Linked DNA regions of Drosophila melanogaster. The main gene of each other region encodes a partner of the protein of the gene in region 4 in a complex. Each region holds a gene or a part of one and is shown on either strand. Other genes may lie near its edges.

Region 1 (6,092 bases), on a different chromosome or scaffold from region 4:
GCTCGACTTACAATTCCGGGGAAAGAAATAGATTGCGGCCTCTACTATAATACAAAAAAAAAAACCAAAGGGTTCGTAATCTTTCTTTGACTCATTTTGCAATAATATCACCTTTAAGAAAGATGCCAATGAACAATTGTTTTATCACATGTTTTTTTTTCCACTATCGAAGAACAGAACTGATAAGAAAAGCGTTGTATTCGAGGAGAAAAAATCGAACAAGTTTTTATTATCGATTATTTGTAATACATAAAGAAATAAAACACTACATATTGAGCAATCTAAAGTTAAGTTCTATGATTTAAATTCATTTAATTAATCACACTTTAGGAATCTTGGCTTCTCAATGCTATTATCTTGACCGCAAATGTGCGGAGTGCTAGCTTTTTGTTTTCTTCGATTCTTTGGAGGAGCATGACGTATGTGTCAAGAAATTTAGAAATCACTAAAAGATAAAAAAGAACCTCTAATTCACACACACACACACAGAGAGAAACATGCTGATGGTTGCGAAGGGGGGCGATGCGGGGGGCTTAGGAGAACTATGATGAAGGAGCATTTGTTGAGCAATTGGCGCAATGAAATGTGATTAAATTTTTTAGCAGATAAGAACCGAAGTAATATGTTACGTTCCACAAATTTCAGACTGTGCGCACACAGCAATATCATGATTAATTGTTAATTATAAAATATTAAAAAGATATTTCATATGAACAGCTTGGTATGCTCGGATAATTTGGAAAAAGGGCGGCTTTAGAGTATTGCACCAAAAAGGTATGCTGTAATATTTAATTTGGATGCTTTATAATGGTAATCATGGAGTTCTGAAAATCATAACTCAATCAACAATTTCGTTCTGTGCAGATGTGCCCGAATGCATGTGTATGCGATAGTGTGCGTGCGTGTGTGTGTATGTGTGTGTGTATGTGTGTGTGAATGTGCGATAGGGAGAAAAGGAGAAAACCGGTTTTGGCGATGCTTAGGAACCGCAAGGCGAAAGGGGAACGTCGGCGAGAGGGGAGGGGGCGGTGTGTGCTAAACGTATTCTGTTCGTTTTAACCAAATGTGACACACTGCAAAGTGCCACAGTGAGAAGAAGAAGAAGAAGACAACGAAGAACGAACAGGGGTAAGAAGCCGAAAAGAGGGAGGAGGAGGAGAAACAAACGGCAGTTCGCGTTTTCCCAGTCGCTTCTTGTTTTTGCCTTTGTTTGCATTTGCTTCTGCTTTTGCCCCGGCTGCATTTTCACTCTGCACGGAAATTTGCGCAGAGCGAAATGGAAAACTGCAGGGGTATGCAAATGTCGCTGTTCGCTCACCTTTATGATCAATTCTATCTCGGGCACATCGAATTTACTGCTGCCGTTCGTCTCCTGGCTCTGCTGCGATTCAACTTCCGACATTGCGATATTGTTATTATTTTTATCGTTTATTCTCGATATCTCTGATCAGATCGAAGAGTTTTTTTCTTTATCCGCGTGACGAGGTGCGTGCGTGTTCGTTTCCTTTTCGCTTTTGTTGTGCTAATTTCCTTTGCCAATACACACACTCACGTACACAAGCTGTAACACACACAGGCAGCACACTCACACACACACAGAGAGACGGAGGGAAGAAGAAGCTCGCCTCGCAGTGTTTAAAAAAAATATGCCGTTCTGTTCTACGATTTGCGCGCTGCTAAAGTCTATTCACGATTGAATTGGTTAGCCGCTGAATAAACCAATCTGCACTGCGCGAAATACACTAACGCCTGCTGTTCAGTGTTACCAGACGGTCCTGCCTTTCGGCCGGCCTATAAATACCAAGCTAATACCAAATGTTTTTAAAGTTGTACTTACAACTCCCTCTCAATAACAGTTGTTATTGGGACATTTCAATAACAGATTGCGTAATACCAAAAATACCTTATACCTACAAAACTCCCATTTGTTCTCAATTTATTCCCCAATATATCGATATTCCATAAAAATTTTGAAATTTCGCGTTCGGGGAAATCGACTATTTTCTTTGTTTTTATAACAACTTTTAGGTATTGAGAAATAATTTCTTAGTCTGCTATCTATATAAATTTTTCAATTTAATGATTTTAATTATCAAATATTCCTTTTAAATTATATACCATCTGTAGACATTATTATAGTTATTCTAACATATAACAGTTGTACTATTAAATATACCAAAAAGAATACCACCGATTGCAAACATTTTATGGCGCCGAAATAATCCGGACTGCGACCAGGTGGCAGCACTAGCAGCTTGGTGTGCGCTTCGTTGGAAATATCATTTTATTGGCACCGGCTTTTCCATCCCAATATCACGACATGGATCTGATGGAACTGCTGAAGCAGGCCCAGCGCCTGACGAACGAGACCAATACGGACACGGAGGTGCCGGGCGTGGAACGGACCATGTCCCAGGTTCTGCAGGCAACCAAGGAGTTTCACTCGCGTGTCACCCAAATGGGCACCAATGATCTGCAGGCGTGAGTAGTTCGCTATAGGCCAGGCGCCAAAAATTGTCATATTAACCGGTCATTCAAATGCAGCCACATACTGCTCGGCTCTAAGGGCGTGGACCTGCCCAAGCTTACACAGAAGCTGGAGTCGCTCAGCGCCCGCCAAACCTTCGAGCCGATTGATCCGGTGACGGAGACCAATGTGCAGGCCTATCTGAAGAACGAGCGGGAGAACGCCATACTCTCAGTTATCGATGAGACGAATCGCAGTGTGAGTGCGCCAAATGACATGCTTCAGGCAGACACCCAAAATTCTGAACTTTCTATCTCCATTAACCAATCCATTGCAGATATTTAAATCTGTGGAGCGACAGAAGTGGCGTTGCATCTACTCGGAGTGGGGCGAGGAGAAGGAAGCGCTGCTAAACGCTCTGGTCGGACCAAACCAACAGGACTTCCCCGACGTCCAGTTTCAGATAGTGCCCACGGCCATGGCTGATGAGCCCACTCCGTACTCCCAACTGAATGGCCATGAGCAGATGTACGCTGAACAGATCGCCATCCACAACCAGTCGATCATCCTGGGCAGACGCCCTAACTTGCTGTCGACCCTTGCCCACGTGGTCCAAGACTCCTTCAACGATGAGTCCGTAGCCGAGATGTGGAATGTATTGCAGTTTATGACCGCGTTGCCGCCAGTCTCGAGCACCATCGATCCAATCAAGAATCGTCAGACATCACCGCAATTCGTTGAGCAGGCCCGCACGTACTTGGAGCGCAGATATAGGACGTATATGAGAAAGTTTATCGTCGCGAATTTGGCCAAAGCGCGGCGGGGAGGAATCCCCAGCGTGTACCATATGGTCCGCTCCTATGTGGGCGTTACTCTCCAGGGGCAGCGAGCCCTCTACGGGCTGCATGACGTGAACAATGGCCAGCCATTGTGGCCACATGTTTACTATAGCTTGCGGAGTGGCGATATGGACGCGGCTGCGTTGTATCTCAAGGAATCGGGAACCTGCCCCGACCTGCTTACGCTATTGACGTTGCGAAAGAACGGCGATAGGGACAACTTGATGGTAAAGCTTGAGGGTCAGCTAAAGTTGGAGTACAACAGTAGACTGCGCGCCTGTACGGATCCCTACAAAAAGGCGGTGAGTGCTCATCTTTTGCTACAACTTGTTGCGTATATTCGTGCTAATCATATGTTTTTCTCTTTTCCATTAGGTATACGTCGTATTGTTGGCGTGTGATCCGCACTTCACTCACGTAGAACTAATGCGCAGCATCGACGACTTCCTGTGGATGCAACTGTCCATTCTGCGCAGGTCGGACCAAAGCGACAGCAACACGGAGCAGCTAACGTTCAGCGGCCTGCAATCGCTCATTTTAGAAAAGTACGGCGAGAACTACTTCAATGCGCGCGAGAAGGCGGCGCTATACTTCCAGGTGCTGACGCTTACCGGCCAATTTGAGGCCGCCATTGAATTCCTCGCCCGCACCGAGAAAAATCGAACGCACGCTATCCACATGGCCATTGCCCTAAACGAGATATCCATGCTGGGAACACCACGTTCCGTGGAACAATCCCTTCTGAGCTCCGACCCTGACGACCCAAAACCAATGAAACGACTCAATCTTGTGCGTCTGATCGTCATGTACACCAAGTGCTTTGAGAGAACGGACACCACGCAGGCGCTGCATTACTATTACCTGTTGCGCAACTTTAAATCCGAGAACGGACGCGGCAACGTGATGCTCACCTGCGTCTGCGATCTGCTAGTTGAGAAATGCGACGACGAAATGCTAGAGCTGATTTTCGGGACGGAGGATAAGAAAAACGGCTTGCGCTATGGGTATGTTACGTTTTTGGTACTCTTAAAAGATTTCAAAATCCTTTTGGCAAATAGCTAATGGTTTATTCATTCCCCTTTATTTAGCGGCATATATGCGGAATTTCAAATTCATGAATGCGATAAGTACTCTCTGGCCGAAATGGTGGGCGATGAGTTGTCGAAACGCGGCGACTACGAATTGGCCATCGAGCTCTACTTTATTGGTGGCCAGCTGGACAAGGCACTGCGTTTGGTGAACTCGCTACTGGCACAGGTGGTCCACCAACCAACGCAGAATGGAAGCGTGCGTAACCGGCTGGGCGATATTATCAATCGACTAGATGCGGCGCTGGTCGTGCGTAAATCGGACGTAGAGGTTCAAGTTGTTGTCACATATACGGTGCTGACAAAGGTCATGAAGTTCTTTGACCACTATCACGAAGGCGCATTGCGTTCGGCATTAGAAATCCTGACCAACAATCATCTGATACCCGCCAGCTCATTGGAAGTGGACGAGTGTGTGACGAACATAAAGCGGATGGGTCCCGAGGTCATTAAAGTGCTGCCCGATATCCTGCTGGCGTCCATGGACATTGTATACCAGGAGTATGTGAAGCTAATGGACTCGAATGAAACAGCTTCCGGTTTCTTTGATGAAAGCAAGTGCGTCAATAAGGAGCCCGCCGTGAAACATTTGCGAGACAGGGCCAAGGCATTCACCAACATGGCTGCCAGCGTTCCATACCGAATGCCATCGACCACCAACCAGCGGCTCGTCCAGCTGGAGATCCTTATGCACTAACATTAGCCAGATTAATACCTAGTTATCGTTTATATGCATTTCATTCAGTTCGTTTAAAATTTTATTGATGATTATATTTTTTTCTTTCCAATAATTTTATTGGAATTTTTCTGTTAAGCGCAACGCATTTAAAGCATTAAGCATTCGAAAAATTTAAAAGAAAATATTTTGTATGTATGTGTTATAAGAAAACTAAACAAAATTCAAAATGTCACACGTATATGTTAATTACTCACGGTTTAGGCAAACAATTAAAATTTTGCATTTTCGCTACTTAATAACCGAATGTATGGTATGTATCACAACAAGCCACTAACCCACTGGAATATCCACAAAAGACTTTCAGATAAGAAGTATTAAGTATTTTATTGCATAATTTGAGACACCGTTTGCTATTGCATTGAAACCTCAAGAGGTCTCAGGAACACCCCAGGACATACATATGAAGAACACATCAATATACTTGTATCAAAATAGTATTGCCAACAATGGCTGCCAACTGTCGGAGATTTTAGGAATCCATTACATAGTTTCTAACAGATCCGTTTCGAGATCCTAGTACACTGCCATAAAAATGAAGAAAAAAAAAAGCCATTAGCTTGGCCCTCGTTTCGTATAAATGCATTTGTTTTCACTTCTGTCTATTTAAGATAATATTGTTAATTGGAATAAGTTGATTGCGATAGTTTGTTCTGGTTTTGTGCGCCACTCAGTCGAAGGTCGGAAGGTCGGTCTGCGCCGCGCCGCCTCTCCCAGCCACACTCCGTTCCGCTTATCCCATATACTGGTACGAAGCGCAGACGGGCTCCTGATGACGAGCGTGTGGCGAGGATTGCAGCGCCAGACGTTGCAGGTGGCAACCGCGGCAGAGCAGGCGCCCGTCCAGCGGGTAACAGCGTTTGTCCGGCTCATCGGTCAGCTGCATGCCGCACTCCTCGCAGATGTAGCAGTCCACGTGGAAGTCCTTGTCCATCGAGACGACGCGCACAGTTTCGTCGGTG
Region 2 (4,913 bases), on a different chromosome or scaffold from region 4:
GTCGGTTCTCGATAATATATCGATAACTGAGCGCGCAGCTTAAAAGTGGTAAGCTTGATAACAACTCAAAGTTGGACAGATTCAATGAGTTCGTAATTATCTGCGGAACTGGAATATAATGTTATCAAATTATATTTTTGTCGTATTGTGTTGGTTAGAGTACAACGGTAATCAATTTCCAAGCATATGTCAATCGTACTACTTAGGGAAACCATTTGGTTGTTAGACGATTGCCTGAGACAACAATCCATTAAAAGAGAAAACATAAAATTGCTTTACATTGTACATTTTATTTTATGCCGAGTCTATACACTATATAATTAAGCGGATTAATCTTAAAATTGAATTTTTTAAGCACCCAGAGGCGTGACTATCGCCATCGCCAGTGTTGAGCACCGATGAAATGAACTCGCCGCAAAAATCTTATCACGCAGCAGCTGACTGCAGTGCAGATATGAAAAATGCGAGCAGGAAGAAAGTGAGGAAAACAATTGAAACACATGACTTTTCGGATAAAACAACAACGTGTATTGGGCAGAACACAAAACAATGATAATACAATCCCGCGCGAGTGGGAGGCAAACTAATATGCTCGCTTTTTTCTACATGGAACAACAACGAATTTTCACTTTAATGTATGGAATAATAATACAGCAGTGTTTCCAGTTAGATTAACCACTATTATTACGGGTCTAAATTATGGATTAGAGTTGAACGTGGACATTGAATTTACAGCGCACAGTTTGGGGGGCCACCTCTTTACTTGTGGTTGTAGTTTTTGTGCACCTCGGGCGAGATGTTGTACACGTACTGCAGGATCTCCAGGATGAACGGGTCCTTGCGGGTCTGGATGGCCCGGTCCATGTCGGCCAGCTTAACGCGGATATCCGCATCGATCTTGGCCGCCACGCCCTCGCGACTGCCCATGTGCTGTAATCGGGGTTCACACGGTATTACATGTACATAAGTTTCCCTATGTGGCGTCTTACCTTGGCCTCGAACTCCTTGAAGGCGCGCTCGCGCTCCTGGCGGAACTTCTCGATCTCCTCGGTAGCCTCGTCCTTGGCTTGCTTCAACCTCCTTGCCTTGCCTGCGGGATTACCCAGAAATCCAGATGATCATATCAGTTCAACTTGGCAAATCAGCCCTCCGCAAGATGACCTTCCATAACTTAAAGTGCCAACTCGCACAAAAACTATTTACTGCACTTAAGTTGCAGTCTTAGTGGCCACAAACAATTTTAATTTAATTTAATTTAATTTAATTTAGTTTAATTTGATTTATATCTCGAGTTATGGAGGATTGACTTGTATTTACTTTTTTCCACCACATCATGTGACCCACACACAACGGTGATGGTGGTTATGGTAGCACGGGGGCGGGGTGGTGAAAAAATCGCAGTTACTTGTCGCCCTGCCATTTCCAATTGGATTTTTGTTTCTGAAAATGAAACTTACGTTTACGAGCCTCGGCGACCTTCTCGGCTGCCTTTTTCTCGGCAGCGAGCAACTGCTGGATTCCCTGCGTCTGGCTGGCCATAATTTCCAAACTTCTCTAATTCCTCGCCGTGGTGTATACTGTGCAAGTCGAAAAAAGCAAGTGCGACAGAATCACAATCGACGACGAACTGTGAAAAATGTCATATGACGAAGTCACACACACGCAAACTCACCACGGTGGCTAGTTGGTGTGGGTAAGCAGTGTGCCGGAAAGCTGGGTGCTGCGAAACTCTTGGAGATGGCTCGGTCGATTGCATATCGATTAGCTTAGTTGTATATTATTGTTTGGTATTGTATTGGCCAGAAGTATTAAATAATTTGACGTTTTTGTAAGCATTAACTTTCTCATTTATTCCCATCATGAATATTTTTCTTTTATAATTTTGTAAACTTTAATTCATTTTAATTTAAATGCAGCGTTTAATCTGCTTCGCACTGTAATAGTTCCGGCTGTATTTAAAGCTATTGTAAGAAATTAGTTCGTAAAAAATTCTTTATATTATTTTAAAATTGAAATACATAAAGATTAAATTTTGAAATAATTTATTCATATTAATATCTGAAGGCTATCGTTTGATATTAAATAACAACCATGTTGTAGTGGACCGAACTCACCACACCTCAGACCAAAATTAAATATTTGAAAATCACAAATCGTAACTATATGAAGCTGCAAATACTTTATATATCTTTAGCCATAGTGTATTTATTTCAATCAATTTGAATACTTTGTTGATATTTTTCCGAATAAATCTCTGCTGACTAGCTATCGATATCACCGATAGTGTCATCTCTGTCCTAGAAGTTAAACCACAGATGCTCAGGCATTAAACAAAATTAATTTCGAAATTTGTTGCAGTAAATATAGTTTAATTGTTTAAAATTCCTGTATAAATCCTTAAGAGGGGTGCCTAAAGATGTTTACGCCCACCACGAACAACGCCATTGGAGGCGCCACTGCTGCTACCGGCGCTTTTGCTTTTGGCGCGCGACCGGCGACGACGACTGCTCCGCCTCCATCCTTTGGAGCAGCCACCTCTACGCCAACCTTCGGTGCTGCTCCGGCCACCACCTCCTTGTTTGCAGCTCCCGCGGCCACACCGGCCTTTGGGGCACCAGCTGCTACGCCGGCTTTTGGAGCACCTGCGTCCACGCCTGGTTTTGGCGCCACTTCCACTGCGGCGCCGGCTTTTGGAACGGCTGCTGCCACGCCCGCTTTTGGCATACCAGCAGCAACGTCGGCTTTTGGAGCTCCAGCTGCTACGCCCGCTTTTGGAGCTGCAGCTGCCACTCCCGCTTTCGGAGCACCCGCCGCCACGCCCGCTTTTGGAGCACCCGCCGCTACATCCGCCTTTGGAGCACCAGCAGCCACAACGGCGTTTGGAGCGCCAGCTTCCACGCAAGCATCGGCCTTCGGAGCACCTGCACCAGCCGTGGGCACTGTGGCTCCCACTTTCTCCTTTGCCACCCCGGCCACAAGTGCGCCGACCACCGCGCCGCCGGCCTTTGGATTCGGCACCACCGCCACAACGGCGGCAGCTGCGATGCCAGCATCCCTCAGCTCCGGAATTGGATCGTTTTCCTTCCCCAAGCCACAGGCCACCACGGCGGCCAGCTTGAACTTTAACACAACCACGACGACGGCGACGGCACAACCCTTCAACACGGGTCTGAAACTGGGAACCACCAATGCGACGACAACCCTAGGAGGAGGAGGAATCTTTAGCAAGCCAGCGGGTCAGGCAGCTGCCCCGGCAGCATCGACTTTCGTGGGTCTGGGGGGGATCGATGTGACCGCCACGCAACCAAAGCTGGGGGACAATAAGCAAGATGGCATCAAGGTGCTGACCATGAGTCTTTCACAGAGAAACAAAATAATCATTTTATTTTCGACCACTCCAGATTAAGGAAACCCAAGTGCCCGACGAGATAATAAAAACGGTGGATGGCCTAAAAGCGTATATCAAACAGCAGAAGACCATCTCCTCTGACATTGGACGGACATCCACCTCCAAATTCACGAATGTCAGCCACGAGATCACGAACTTGAAATGGGCGCTGCAGAATATGGCCACTTTAGTTGAGGGCAGCAATCAGCAGATCCGCCTGATGCGCCAAGAGACCGTCAAGGCGATTCAATCTCTGGAGATGGCCCAACGCACGCAGGACACCCCAGCCGGCCTGCAGTTCGAGAACAATGCTCCGTTCCAGTACTTTCAGTGCCTGGTGGCGAAGTACGAGCAGGATTTGATCGCCTTTCGCCAGCAGATCGCTCTGACCGAGCGCCACATGCACGCGATCTCGAATCCGCAGAGTATTTCGCCGGATGATCTAAAGCGTGGCTTTCGCCAACTTAATGAGAGTTTCATCTCGCTGGCGGGACGCCTCCACGAGGTGCATCAGCGGGTGGAGGAGCACAAGGAGCACTACCTAAACCTCAGACGCTACCGCCTGCGAGACACCACCAACGTTTTCGAGCGGATTGACAATCCTCCGCTGCCGACGGTGGAACCTCAACGGATTAGTAGCGGTCCAACGCCCTTCTCCAACATCTCGGCTCTGATGAACAAGTCCTATGCAGCGGCGGCCAGTTCCGCCAGCAATGCGACAGGCAATTGAGAATGGCACTCTTTACAAGTTTCAATAAATCGTTATGTCGAAAGGGGCCTAGACTTTCACTTTCAGTTATAGCATAGAATATATATTTCACACGCAACAATCTTTATTTCTTCACCACCTGGATGACGTCCTCGTCGGCCATCACATGGGCAATCCCCACGCGCTGCGGCGAGTATTTCGTGGAGGTGCCCCACACCAGGGCATACTTGAACTGCGCCGCCAGCGTGCGATGGATGGCATGGCACACATGCTCCACACTGACGCCCTAAACAAGGAATATATAAGGAATTAGAGTTGCTTTACCAGGCTGAAGAAGGAATTGGATGAATGGAAAACAGTCTCTTGCCTTTCTCAGAATCAATCCATCGTCAAAGTCTGGAGGAGCGCCTGGCTTCTTTGTGTACACTCTGATGAGCTGGAGAGCTTCCCAGAGCGCCTCCATCATGTAGTCCAGATTAAGTTTCATGTTGCAACTAACCACTATCGAGTTTGGCTGGCGCGCCAAGCGGTCCACCTCCTCGATGGAGATCTGATCGATCTTGTTGTAGACATACAGACAGGGCAGATACACACGGTTGGCGGTGACCACGTCGATGAACTCGTCCTCGGTGCAGTCTTCGCGGAAGAGCACCTCGGCGTTGAAGATCTTGAAGGAGTGCAGGATGGTCTGGACCATTTTCTCGTTGCAGCGCGTAAGGGAACAGGTGGCGTTGAAGCTCAGGCCGCCGCCCTTCTTCTGCTTGAAGTAGATGTTGGGCTTGCGCTTGTTCAGACGAATGCCCACGCTCTCCAGCT
Region 3 (5,498 bases), on a different chromosome or scaffold from region 4:
CTATATCATATATATCAGGTATATCCCCTTACCTTGCCGGCCGCCTTGATGTAGCGTCGCGTGGCCTCCTTGACGAGATCGCGGACGAGGAGTTCGCCGGAACCACAGGGAACCAGAATGCGAACGTCGCCGAAGCAGACGGTGACCTTCATTTCGTACTTTTCGTGTTAACAATAACTATTATCGTCTTCGATCTGCGATAATAAGTATGTATTTTTGACTGCTGCAATGCACTTTTTATTTTGCACACACATATATGCACTTGATTAAATTGGGCGATCGTTTCTTTAACTTATTTTTTTCTCGAATTTTTCGGATTTTTTCCTATTACTATTTTGTATGCAGCTACTTTTTTTTAACGCTATGCTCGTCTGCCTGCAGCAGCTTTTTGTTGTTCTTGTTGCTGTTGTTGTTACGACCGCATCATCATCATCGTCGTCGCTTTCCAGCTATCGCCATCCTTGTTGCTCCTTTCGCGTGCACAGTGCGCTTGTTGTTGCTGTATTGTTGGTTGTTAGGCAGCTGCAACAAAAGTTGGTCTAGGGCGGCATGGGTGCGAGCGAGATGGCTGCGTGCCTGGAAAAAGGATCGGGATCGCTTTCCAGTATGTACTTGTAGTCGCTCTCGCGCGCTCTCCCTCTCTGTCGCTCTCTGGAAACTGGAACTCTCTTTTGCTATTTACTTAGCATATTTCACCGTAAGGCATCGTTGTTATTGTTTGTTTTGTTGTGTTTGTGTGATTCATACACGCGCGCATTAAAAAAAACGAGTTACAACAACGGCAACCATAATAACAAGAACAACAAACAGCGGGCCAAGATCATTTATTTACTTCTTTTTTTAACGTTCTTCGCTCTCGCTCGCAAACTTGGCATTTGTTTTGGTCAAATTATTATATATTATGCGCTGTAGATTGCATGGTTTTAAATTTACGGTTCGATCATCGTTTTTATATCTTTTCTGTTACTCTCTTTTAACGTTGCTTTTGTCGTGTTTTTCGTTTTCGGTTATCTCCTTTTTCGCCCGTTGGCGTCGCTTCTTTCTTGTTGTTTATCACTTTCAACTATTCATATTTCGATTGCAAGTGGAATAGTATCGTTGACCGCCACTCTTATTAACGAACTATTTGAACTCAAAAAAATGCAAAAAAAATCCACGAGCAGCGCGTTGATTACTGCGCTTCGAGTTCGAATTCGCCCTGGCGAGCAACAACAAATGACCAAAATTCTGGGGATGGCAGGCTCATCGATACTATCGGAACAGCAGCTTGGCTTCTTCGCGGTATTTGGTTATACTTTACTGGGCGGTCACACTACTGCTCGTTATCTCCCGCTTATTTTAAAATCAGGGATTGGGCTAAATGCCATCTAATTCTGCAATAAGTTTTATTGAATTTGCATTGCTTTATATAAGTCAGCCTATTAAATAGAGATATTGATTAAGAGGTAATTAATCGTCTTAAAATATTAAAGTGTAAAGATGAAAATATTTCTTATGTAAGCTATGTATAAATATAAAATACTAGGAACAACCAATTTCGATAGGATTAATTGTATAGTCCTAAGAACGACAGATAGTGTTATCAAGATCGAGGAGTTTGAATCGAGAGCTTAAAAGAGAATAAAAAGAACTTAAAAAGATTGCTACACCTATATATATATTCATATATATATAAGATAATATAAGAAGATGTTCGATTTCATTCAACAGTTTAAGGAACGCCCCAAGCATTTCCTAATTTCCTAAGAATATATGTTTACCAACTCCTGTTAACATTTTATTTATTAGGCAAATACATTCATCTCGAATGTAAAACATTAAAATTTTCAATTAAACCTGAACGATATTGTGTGGGTGGGATAGCCATTGCGGTATTTTTTTCGCGCCATTTTCAGATTTGCGTTATCGATTACCGGCAATCGCTTGACGGCAATATTGTAACAACAAAGCACACATTCGCTCTCATTCAGCTAAAAAAGAAACTAAAAACCTTAAACTATATTCGATCGATGGCAGAACCCCGTCCCGGCGGCTACAACTACAAGACATTATTGTGAGTAAAAGTTCGTTCATCAAAGGCAGAGCGATGTCAACTATAGTTCCATACGAATCCCCAGATGCAGAAACATTCCGGAGCTATTTTTGGACAAATATGTGGCGCGTTCGCACTTTGGACGTTTTGGAACCCTCGTAAACTTCGTCCTGCGTCCGCGGCGAATGACCTGCACCGTAAGCTATGCCAGCGAGGACGAGGCGGCGCGGGCGCTTCTCGATGGCGCCAGCTTTCAGGGTCACCTGTTTGATATATCCTATGCTGATAACGAGACGGCGCCGGCACAGAAAACGGAGGAGTGGGTGGATCCTGACATTCAGGCGGAGTTGAGTGCACTGCAGTCGGGCTGGCGCAATGAGTATGGGTCGGGCAAGCCGATAAAAAAACCACAAAATGGCAGCAGTGGTAGCGGTGGCAGTTCAATGCTGCCTGCCATACCAGTTGGGCCCGCAACGGCGCCGGTGAGCAGAGATCGTACGCCTGCCCAGCTCAGGGATCTTGAGAACATGATGCGCAGACCCGCCCATACAAGCGAGGAGAAGTTCAGCGTGCTGGATGCCCGCGATAAGCTGCTCCGGTTGAACCGAACGCAACACAAGCTGTCCGGTGCCACCCAGGGTCACTGCGCCGATATGTGTCCGGAAAAGGAGCGCGTGCTGAGAGAATTCCAGCGCCAGGTAGCCTACTATGAACTACAACCGGGCTCCGATGAGCTAATCTGTCACGAAAGAGCCCTGAAGCAGTACTCGCGCAGCAGTGCCGACCAGGAGACGCCACTGCCGCATGAACTGCGCAATGAGACTGCCCTGCACATGACCATGAGCTATCTAATGCATGAGATCATGGACATTAGCGAGCGCCAGGATCCGCAAAGCCATATGGGCGATTGGTTCCACTTCGTTTGGGATCGCACGAGGTCCATCCGAAAGGAGATCACCCAGCAGGAGCTATGCTCTCTGGGCGCTGTGAAGCTGGTGGAGCAGTGCGCCCGGTTTCACATTCATTGCGCCGCCCGTCTGGTTGACGCCGATCCCAGCGTCTTTGACAGCAAGATCAACGCCGAGAATCTAACCAAATGCCTGCAGACTCTGAAGTACATGTACCATGACCTGCGGATTAAGGGCGTTCCATGTCCCAAAGAGGCGGAATTCCGGGGCTACATTGTGTTGCTCAATCTGGCCGATGCCAACTTTCTCTGGGACATCGGTCAGCTGCCCGCGGAACTGCAGAGTTGTCCCGAAGTGCGTCAAGCCATTCAGTTCTACTTGGCCCTGCAGGACACGAATTTTGTGCGGTTCTTTCAGCTGCTGGCTGACAAGGATACCAGCTACCTGAGTGCCTGCATCCTAGTCAATTACTTTACGCGACTGCGCGTGCTGGGGTTGCATCGTCTGATCCAGGCGTATAGGTCTCCGCGGAAGGATGAGGTGTCTTCGCTGCCTCTCAGCTACATCGCCGAGCTGCTGAGCTTTGCCAGCGAACAGGAGGCGGCGGATTTTGTCCAACACTATGGCCTGCAGATCAACGAGGCGGGCAGAGTTGTGCTAAGCAGAATGCACACGGTGGAGACGGAGTACAAGCTGCCGCGACAGTATGAGGTAAGTAAATGGTTTTCTTTTTTTTGTTTTATTAATTTGATTTTTATTATCCACTTCCAGTTGGTGGAAGTGAAACGCGTGAAGAGCGTGGGCGAAGTCGTCAGTGGGGAACCTTTACCACCACGAGACCTCTACCTCAATCACCGACCGCACAATAGCTTCGACGATTATGGAATGCTTAAGAGCATTGCATGGACGGCCAAGGATCAGCTGGCTGGCATGCAGCAAGAGGAGATGCAGCCACAAATGCCTTCGCAGCCACCAGCAGTCTCAAAACATAGCGATACTTTGTTTAAGGTGCCCATGCAACCCGACGGAACGGCAGCAGGGTTTGGAGTATTTGCTGCGGCTGCTGTTCCGCCAGCCTCCTCCATCGATGGATTCAGTTTTGTTCTTCCCAAATCACGTGCTCAGGAGTTCCAGGAACAAGCTCCGGCTACACAGCAGCGACGGGCACAAGAAGAGGCCAAGCATCAGGCCCTCCAAGTAGCCATTGCCGCTGCAAAGAAGCGGGAAGCTGAGCTAATGGCTATTCACGAGGCCAAAGTGGCCGAGGCTGAGCGAGTGCGTCAGCAGAAACTCAGGGAACGCCAGGAGCAGCAGCGTCGCCAGCAGCAGGAACTGGAGGAACAACGCCAGCGGGAGCAGGAGAAACTTCAGCTGGAAAAAGAGAGGCAACTGAAACTGGAACAGTTGTTTTTTGTGCAGCAGCAGGAAAGGGAGGCCCACAAACAGACCAGGACTTTGGAGTTGTATCAGGAAATATTCCAGGACACCCTCGCGGAGATTTGCCAAAGCGAGTTTATGTCGCATAGTCGGGCTTGCCGTTCCTACGAATCCATGCTGGACTCAATAACACGCGATCTCGTCGAGCGGCAGATGGAGCAATCCATCTACGAACTAGGCGTCATGAGGGTGTGCATCAGACGATGGCGGAAATATCGGCGAACGCAACAGGAGAAGGACACGCTATTTAACCAACTGCCTTTAAGTTTTGGAGCCGAAAACCCCGAAGGAGTGGTGAACAAACGAAGCATGGAAGATTCACTGCGTCTAAGCAGACGCTATCGACTTGGCGAGCCCTGCGATTATGGCAAACTTCTGGCTGGCCTGGAGGAGCATAGTTGGCTGAAACTGGATCTGTGGCACGTTTTGGACAAGTGTCTGCCGGTAGCGCAACCAGGAGCTAGACGCTTCTACAAGCTATTGATAAGCCTGTCCGGCGGCCAGGAGGGTCTCCAGTTGAACTGCGATTTGGATAGGGGACTACTGCAGCAGCCACAGTCGCCGGATGCTCGTTTTGTGGATGGAGGCTACATCAGAGGCTTCTCTCAGGGTATTGGCTTGAGTGTGATGAAGATCCGAGATGATGACCACGACTGGAAAGCCACCGACCTGGCCGAAGCCAATGGTATTATTTGCTTAATCGGGCTGGATGACATTCGTTTACTGCCGGATCGCTTGAAACCATTGCTGCAAGCAAGCCGCTGTCATGATGTGGCTGTAATTGTTCAGCATCCAGCTAATACCGCCTTTGTTCAACCTGATATTCCTCTCCAGGAACTATGTCTGCGCTCATTTAACATCTTTCGTTTGCGAAAATCTGGAAACAACCGCCAGCGCTTAATGATTGCACTGGAATCGGCTGTAAAGTTTTTGGCCAAAGCCACGGAAAGGAAACGTGTTGGACATCTTCACCAAGTGGAGACCCGCGAGTATTTGCTCGTTAATCTGGGATCGGAACTATTTCGCCGCCTAAAATACGCCGCTGAGCACGATACGGCCATTAGAAGCGACACTCAGCTGAATCCACAGCGTTGTGTGGACCTTTTTAACGAGGCAGTGCA
Region 4 (5,223 bases):
CGTTTATTAGCTGCAGTGATGGGGTTGTCATTTAGAGTGGGCGTCAGAACTTCCTGAAGTTTTTTGCTTAATTCATTGACCTTGTTGACCTTCTCAGCAAGTTCTTCGCGAACGCTGGTAAGCTCCGCTTGCCACTTGTCTGCCAGCTGCTTTTCTTCATCTTTCAACTTGATGGCCGTCTCCGCCTGTCGCTTAAACTCGTTAATTGATTCACGGAACTTCTCCTCCTCCTCCTGGAAGTGACGACGCTGAGCAGCCAGTTCCCGTACAGTGTCATCTAAACGCTGCTCTAAACGCTGGCGACCCTCCATCTCAGATCGCTCAAGGTTGGTCTTTATGAATTCCAAACTGTTTAGAAGCAGTGATTGGCTCTGCTGCTCGCGGTGATAAGTCTCCTTTTCGATCTGCAGTCTAGAAGATGTGTCCCTTAGAATGCGGTTCTCTTGGCGAAGGCTTTGAGCCTCTGCATCGGCTGCTGCGTGCTTGCGGTGTGCCGCCATCATTTCGTCCTTGAGCAAATGTACGGTTTGCTCGTGTTTAATAATGGTCTTTTCATAGTTCTTGGTACGCTCTTCCAATGTAGTCACCTGCTGCTTGTAGGTGCCTATATTTTTGTGAAGTAGTTCGATTTGCTCTTTCTGGAATTCGGTGGTGTTCATAAGCTTGCAGTTACTGCTGGTTAGCTCCCGCACCTCCTTACGCATAGAATCGAACTGTTCTTGGGCCAGTGCATCGTTTTTACGCTTTTCGCTAGTGTAATAGTCGTAGTTCTCTTTCAGTGAGGCATACTTCTTGACCTCCCCTTCCAACTGTTGCTCCAGCTGTCGCACCCTCTTTTCCAGTTTCCTGCTCTCCTCAAAATTGGCTGCCGGCTGCTCTGAAGTATCCAGTGCAGAGTCGTTAGGCTCCAGATTGGAGTCGTCCAGATCCACAGTATTTTGACCGAGCTTCTTCTGAGCCGCGAAATATAACTTCTTGTAGCGGTCGCACTTGGATAGTAGTGTAGTAACCGTATTGTTCTTTTGCGTTAATAAATCCTCCAATTCGGCAAAACGCGCATCCAGTTTTCTTATGTGATTCTTAGACTGCTCCAGCAACATCTTATCTTGGTTCTTTTCGCTAGCCTCCAAAAGTTCTGTGAGCTCGCGGGACATATTCAGGAGGTATGTATTTCTATCCACCAACTCTTCAATAGAACTAAAGGTTACCAAGTTATCGCTGATCAAACTTTCGCTGGTGGGTAGCTGACGAGTTGGTTGGATACGTACATGTTTCACTCCAGCCCTTATGCAGTTCAATTCGTCCAGCAACATGCACACCTGTCGGCTGAGATCGGTGTGTGTCTGTTTTAGTTTCTTATTCTCATTTTGGTTGTGATTAAGGGTAGATAAGGCCCTTTCCAATTCCCGCTCAAGGCATAGCTTATTTTGTAATAATTCATCATGCTCCCGCAGGAGCTCACTGTTAGTTTCCTTCATTTTTTGGTAATCGGAGTTCTGTTTTTCCAAAATCGGTGCACTCTCTGAAATCTCAGCAATGATCGACTTGAGCTGCAACTTCAACTGCTCAATTTCGCAGTTTCGCATCTCCAGTTCTTCGCTGCTTTTGGCGTACATGGAGTAAAGTTCGGTAAGCGATAGATCGGAGCGGATAAGGCGACTAGCCACAGCCGCACTGGGAGCCAACTGGCATATGGCGCTTTCCAAATTACTTTCCCGGGCCTGTTTTAGCAAATCGTTGGCACTTGCTAGCTCCTGTTCCATAGCCTGAATCTTCTTATTTTGCTCGTCCAACTCAGCGCTGTGCTTTTGCTTCATGGTTTCCATTTGCTCCGTCAACTGGGCGCACTGCTCTTCGGCCTCCTCTAACAAACGTTTAATTTCGGAGATGCCCTGTAGGAGTTCCTCCCGTTGGATCAGATGATCGGATTCGGTGCTCTTAAAGATTTCAAAAAGCTTCTCTTTGGCATCAAGTTCCTTTTTCAGCTTCCCCACATACTCTTCCGTGGCCTGGTTCTGCTTGAAGGCGGTGTCGTTTTGCATTTCAATCTTGCTGGTTAGTTCCCCGATGGTCTTGACGGCCTGTTCGTACTGTTCCTGCATCAGCTTTAGCGATTCGGTCTTTTCTTTAAGGCAAGACTGTAGCTGCATGGTGTTTATTGTGTGCTCCCGTCGGATGTTCTGTAACTCGGCGTTGCTTTTGTTCAGATCTCCGCTGATTAACAAAATCTCCTTGTGCAGCATATCGCGTTCGCTTTCCATGCGGTTCTCTTTGAGCTCCAGAGCCACTTCCTTACTTTGAATTTCGTCCACGCGAGCAATGGCTTCGCACTTGGCAGCAATCGCGCTGCTCAGCTGCTGCTGGTAGGTGTGCAGATCCTGCTTCAATCGTTCCAGCTCCGCTTGTTGGCGCTCGATTACCTTCATCATCGAATCGCGTTCTTCAACTACCGACGCCTTTTCCTTGCGCAACTGTGATATAGTTTGCTCGCCTTTGGCGATCGTGTCCATTAGGTTAACTCGTTCCGAAGACATCTGATCTAGATGAGTGCGCAGCTCGTTTACATTTAACTCAAAGCTGGTAAATTTTACTAGATAGTCCTCCATTTTGTTCTCCAGCTCTTCCTTTTTTTGCTCGGCTTCGGCTGTGAAAAGGGCAAAAATAAATAATCTTCTTAACTGGATTTAAGTAACCACAAAGTATTTGGATTAAAATGAATACACAGAAATTCCCTGAAGATTTCAAACTCGGACTAATCAACTGTTTTGGTGGGAAAATGTCCGGCCAGTGTTACCACACCGGTGAGGTGAAAATTAATAAGGAAAATAATGTTGCTGCAAGCAGCCATTGTTTTTAATTGCAACAACCCGGAATTTTATATTTAAATTTCTATACAAAAAATATGTAAATGGCGCAAGAGTGTTTACCACGCTAGAAACCATACAGTCGCGGATTGCTTATTACAAGAAGCGGTATCTGAGCCGGTAAACGCCGCAAAGTTGGAGGTAAAAGCATACGCATGCAAATAAAGGGTTATTTGCAAAATATGGCGCATTTTAGTATATATACAAATATAAAAACTTACCCAACCGATTGGCGGCCGCACGGTTCTTGCAGTACTCATCTGAGAAATTGTTGATGTACTCCGACAATTTCTTCTGGACGTCTTCCGGCACGAGTTTCAACTCGTCGGGCTGAAGTATGTTGTTCAGAGTTTGTGGACCACTGAGATCCATGTTCGCAGTTGATCCTTGTCAAGCAGCGGTTAAATTTATATGGAGCGGTGCGAAGTTTACTTTCTTACTTTTTACTTTACTTTAGTCTTAATTTTTTGCGAATTGTGCACAAAGTCGCTTTAGGGACGCGAAAAAATGAACGTCAATGCAGTGGAGATGGAACAATATCGATATTTTTCGGTACTATCGATTCGAGTATATTATTCTCACTGTTTCAACAGCGTTATAACAGCCTATTCACAGCCTAATAAAACAAAATGTTTTTCTTTAAAAAGAGATAAATTCATTCATAAAAAAAATTTTTTAAACGTGGTTGAAAAATCCGTTTTTATTACGAATAAAAAAAGAAAGGACTTTATTTAATAACATAAACGAATGCAAAACCCAAACCAAGCGAAATCATTCCCTTTAATTCCATAAAACGCGATTAACCTTTTGATTTCGTGTTTATTTGGTAATTGTCTTTATGGGTAAATGTCTCACAACAACTATTTTAATTCTAGGGTAATGTAATGTGATGTTCTCCATTCAAGCCTCCCTTCTGTCTAAAGCCACTTAATTTTTCCTGCACAAAGTTTAGTCCTTTCCGATATGGATGTGCGAACCTACAACTATAGTCGGCCTATATAACCATCTAGTCGGGCATTGATCGTAGTTATCATATTATAAAGTTATATACGGGTATTTGTAGTTCATGTCTTTTAAACTCAGTTCTTTTTGCGCAACATTTGGTGCTCAGTTGTTGGTTGTTTAGGTTGTTTGGTTTCTTCGTTTGAATATCATCATCTTACACATCCTTTTGCTGTTGCTCAACGGAAGGATAACAAGCGATTGGGTGCGGGTGGGCATGGGGATTGATTAAGATACAAAGATACGGATGAGAACGTACGGATAGTAGTAATAGTAACTGGTAGAATCAGCAATATCGGTGAGGCATTCGAACTCTGAAACTCAGGAACTCAACTAGTATTTGATCGCTACTAAAACACTATTAACATATGGGGCAACCAACGAATCCGAATCATTTCTAGGCCTCCTCGCACTCCTCCTCCTCGCGCTGAACAAACAACCGATGGTTGCGGGCCTCCAGGATGGACCACACAATCAGCGGAGTGGTCCCGAGCACCATGCAGGATCCCATGCAGTAGAAGCATATCTCGTAGTCTCCGGAAAGGTCTCGCATCAGTCCTGCCAGCGGAGGCACCGATATGGCCCCGATGCTCTGGAACATCCTCACCAGCCCGTAGCTCGAGCTGATCCTGTCCGTGCCAAAGACGTCCGCAAGGAGGACCGGCATAAGTACATACCAGCTACCCAGGCAAAGTCCGTAGACAGCGGCCGATAGACCCACCAAAACCAGAGTCTTGGCGAAGGGAATTGTGAGCACGGCACATCCGGCGCCCAAAATGCTGTCGATATAGGGAAATGTGATTAGTTTGGATCGAAAAATAAACCTTATCTGGTACTCACCACAAGGTGTAGGTCTTCTTGCGATCGAATAGCTGCAGGTCGCACAGCCAGCCAAGTCCAAGGCGCCCAATTAAATCTAGGACCGCGCTGATGGCCACCAGGTATCCCGCCTCACTTTTATTGTATCCTAAAGATGAACCAAGTTTATAATATTTAAAATCGTACGCCGAAAGAATATACTTTGAACATTTTAAATAGTATACCTATTGAAATAACGTGGGCGGGCAGATAGTACAACATGTAGGGACAGCCGACGGACATCAAGGTGACGGATAGGCACATCAGGATAAAGCTCGGGTCCTGCAGCAGACTGATGTCCAGGTACATCTCGATGCGCTCGCAGCAAGTGCGTGGTCCCCGCTCTTCGTCGTCATCGTCATCCTCATCGGCGGCAAGGTGGCCGTCGCCATCGATAATGGACTCCACCAGCTGGGAGTCTAGAATGCCGAGCTCCGCCTGCTCCACCGGCTGCTGCTTGAGATCACTGAGGTTGCTAACCGGAGTGGGTATCTCCATG

The links.
Region 1: Mgtor (region 4) and Nup93-1 share a complex: the UniProt entries of both Drosophila melanogaster proteins name them as parts of the nuclear pore complex.
Region 2: Mgtor (region 4) and Nup58 share a complex: the UniProt entries of both Drosophila melanogaster proteins name them as parts of the nuclear pore complex.
Region 3: Mgtor (region 4) and xmas share a complex: the UniProt entries of both Drosophila melanogaster proteins name them as parts of the nuclear pore complex.

Annotation. Positions count from the first base shown.
Region 1 is NC_004354.4:13,820,607-13,826,698, forward strand, and holds Nup93-1 (nucleoporin 93kD-1), read left to right. Parts: upstream 1-2,219; 5' UTR 2,220-2,320; coding exon 2,321-2,481; intron 2,482-2,544; coding exon 2,545-2,725; intron 2,726-2,804; coding exon 2,805-3,608; intron 3,609-3,681; coding exon 3,682-4,310; intron 4,311-4,394; coding exon 4,395-5,091; 3' UTR 5,092-5,304; downstream 5,305-6,092. Other genes in the region: Clic (chloride intracellular channel), read right to left, coding at 1,319-1,402; jub (ajuba LIM protein), read right to left, coding at 5,864-6,092. UniProt on the Drosophila melanogaster protein: Required for nuclear pore complex assembly, maintenance and function. Required for nuclear import of phosphorylated Mad via importin msk. Has no role in classical nuclear localization signal (cNLS)-dependent nuclear import via importin-beta.
Region 2 is NT_033777.3:19,642,749-19,647,661, forward strand, and holds Nup58 (nucleoporin 58kD), read left to right. Parts: upstream 1-2,277; 5' UTR 2,278-2,416; coding exon 2,417-3,340; intron 3,341-3,401; coding exon 3,402-4,118; 3' UTR 4,119-4,158; downstream 4,159-4,913. Other genes in the region: Vha13 (vacuolar H[+] ATPase 13kD subunit), read right to left, coding at 760-930, 990-1,090, 1,458-1,539; CG6195 (uncharacterized protein), read right to left, coding at 4,222-4,383, 4,465-4,913. UniProt on the Drosophila melanogaster protein: Component of the nuclear pore complex, a complex required for the trafficking across the nuclear membrane. Together with Nup54, required for transposable element silencing regulation in ovarian follicle cells.
Region 3 is NC_004354.4:17,155,726-17,161,223, reverse strand, and holds the start of xmas (xmas), read left to right. Parts: upstream 1-1,917; 5' UTR 1,918-2,009; coding exon 2,010-2,053; intron 2,054-2,117; coding exon 2,118-3,651; intron 3,652-3,711; coding exon 3,712-5,498. UniProt on the Drosophila melanogaster protein: Involved in mRNA export and mRNA coupled transcription activation.
Region 4 is NT_033778.4:11,850,769-11,855,991, reverse strand, and holds the start of Mgtor (megator), read right to left. Parts: upstream 3,376-5,223; 5' UTR 3,237-3,375; coding exon 3,086-3,236; intron 2,645-3,085; coding exon 1-2,644. Other genes in the region: Sln (silnoon), read right to left, coding at 4,264-4,645, 4,707-4,833, 4,910-5,223. UniProt on the Drosophila melanogaster protein: Component of the nuclear pore complex (NPC), a complex required for the trafficking across the nuclear envelope. Functions as a scaffolding element in the nuclear phase of the NPC.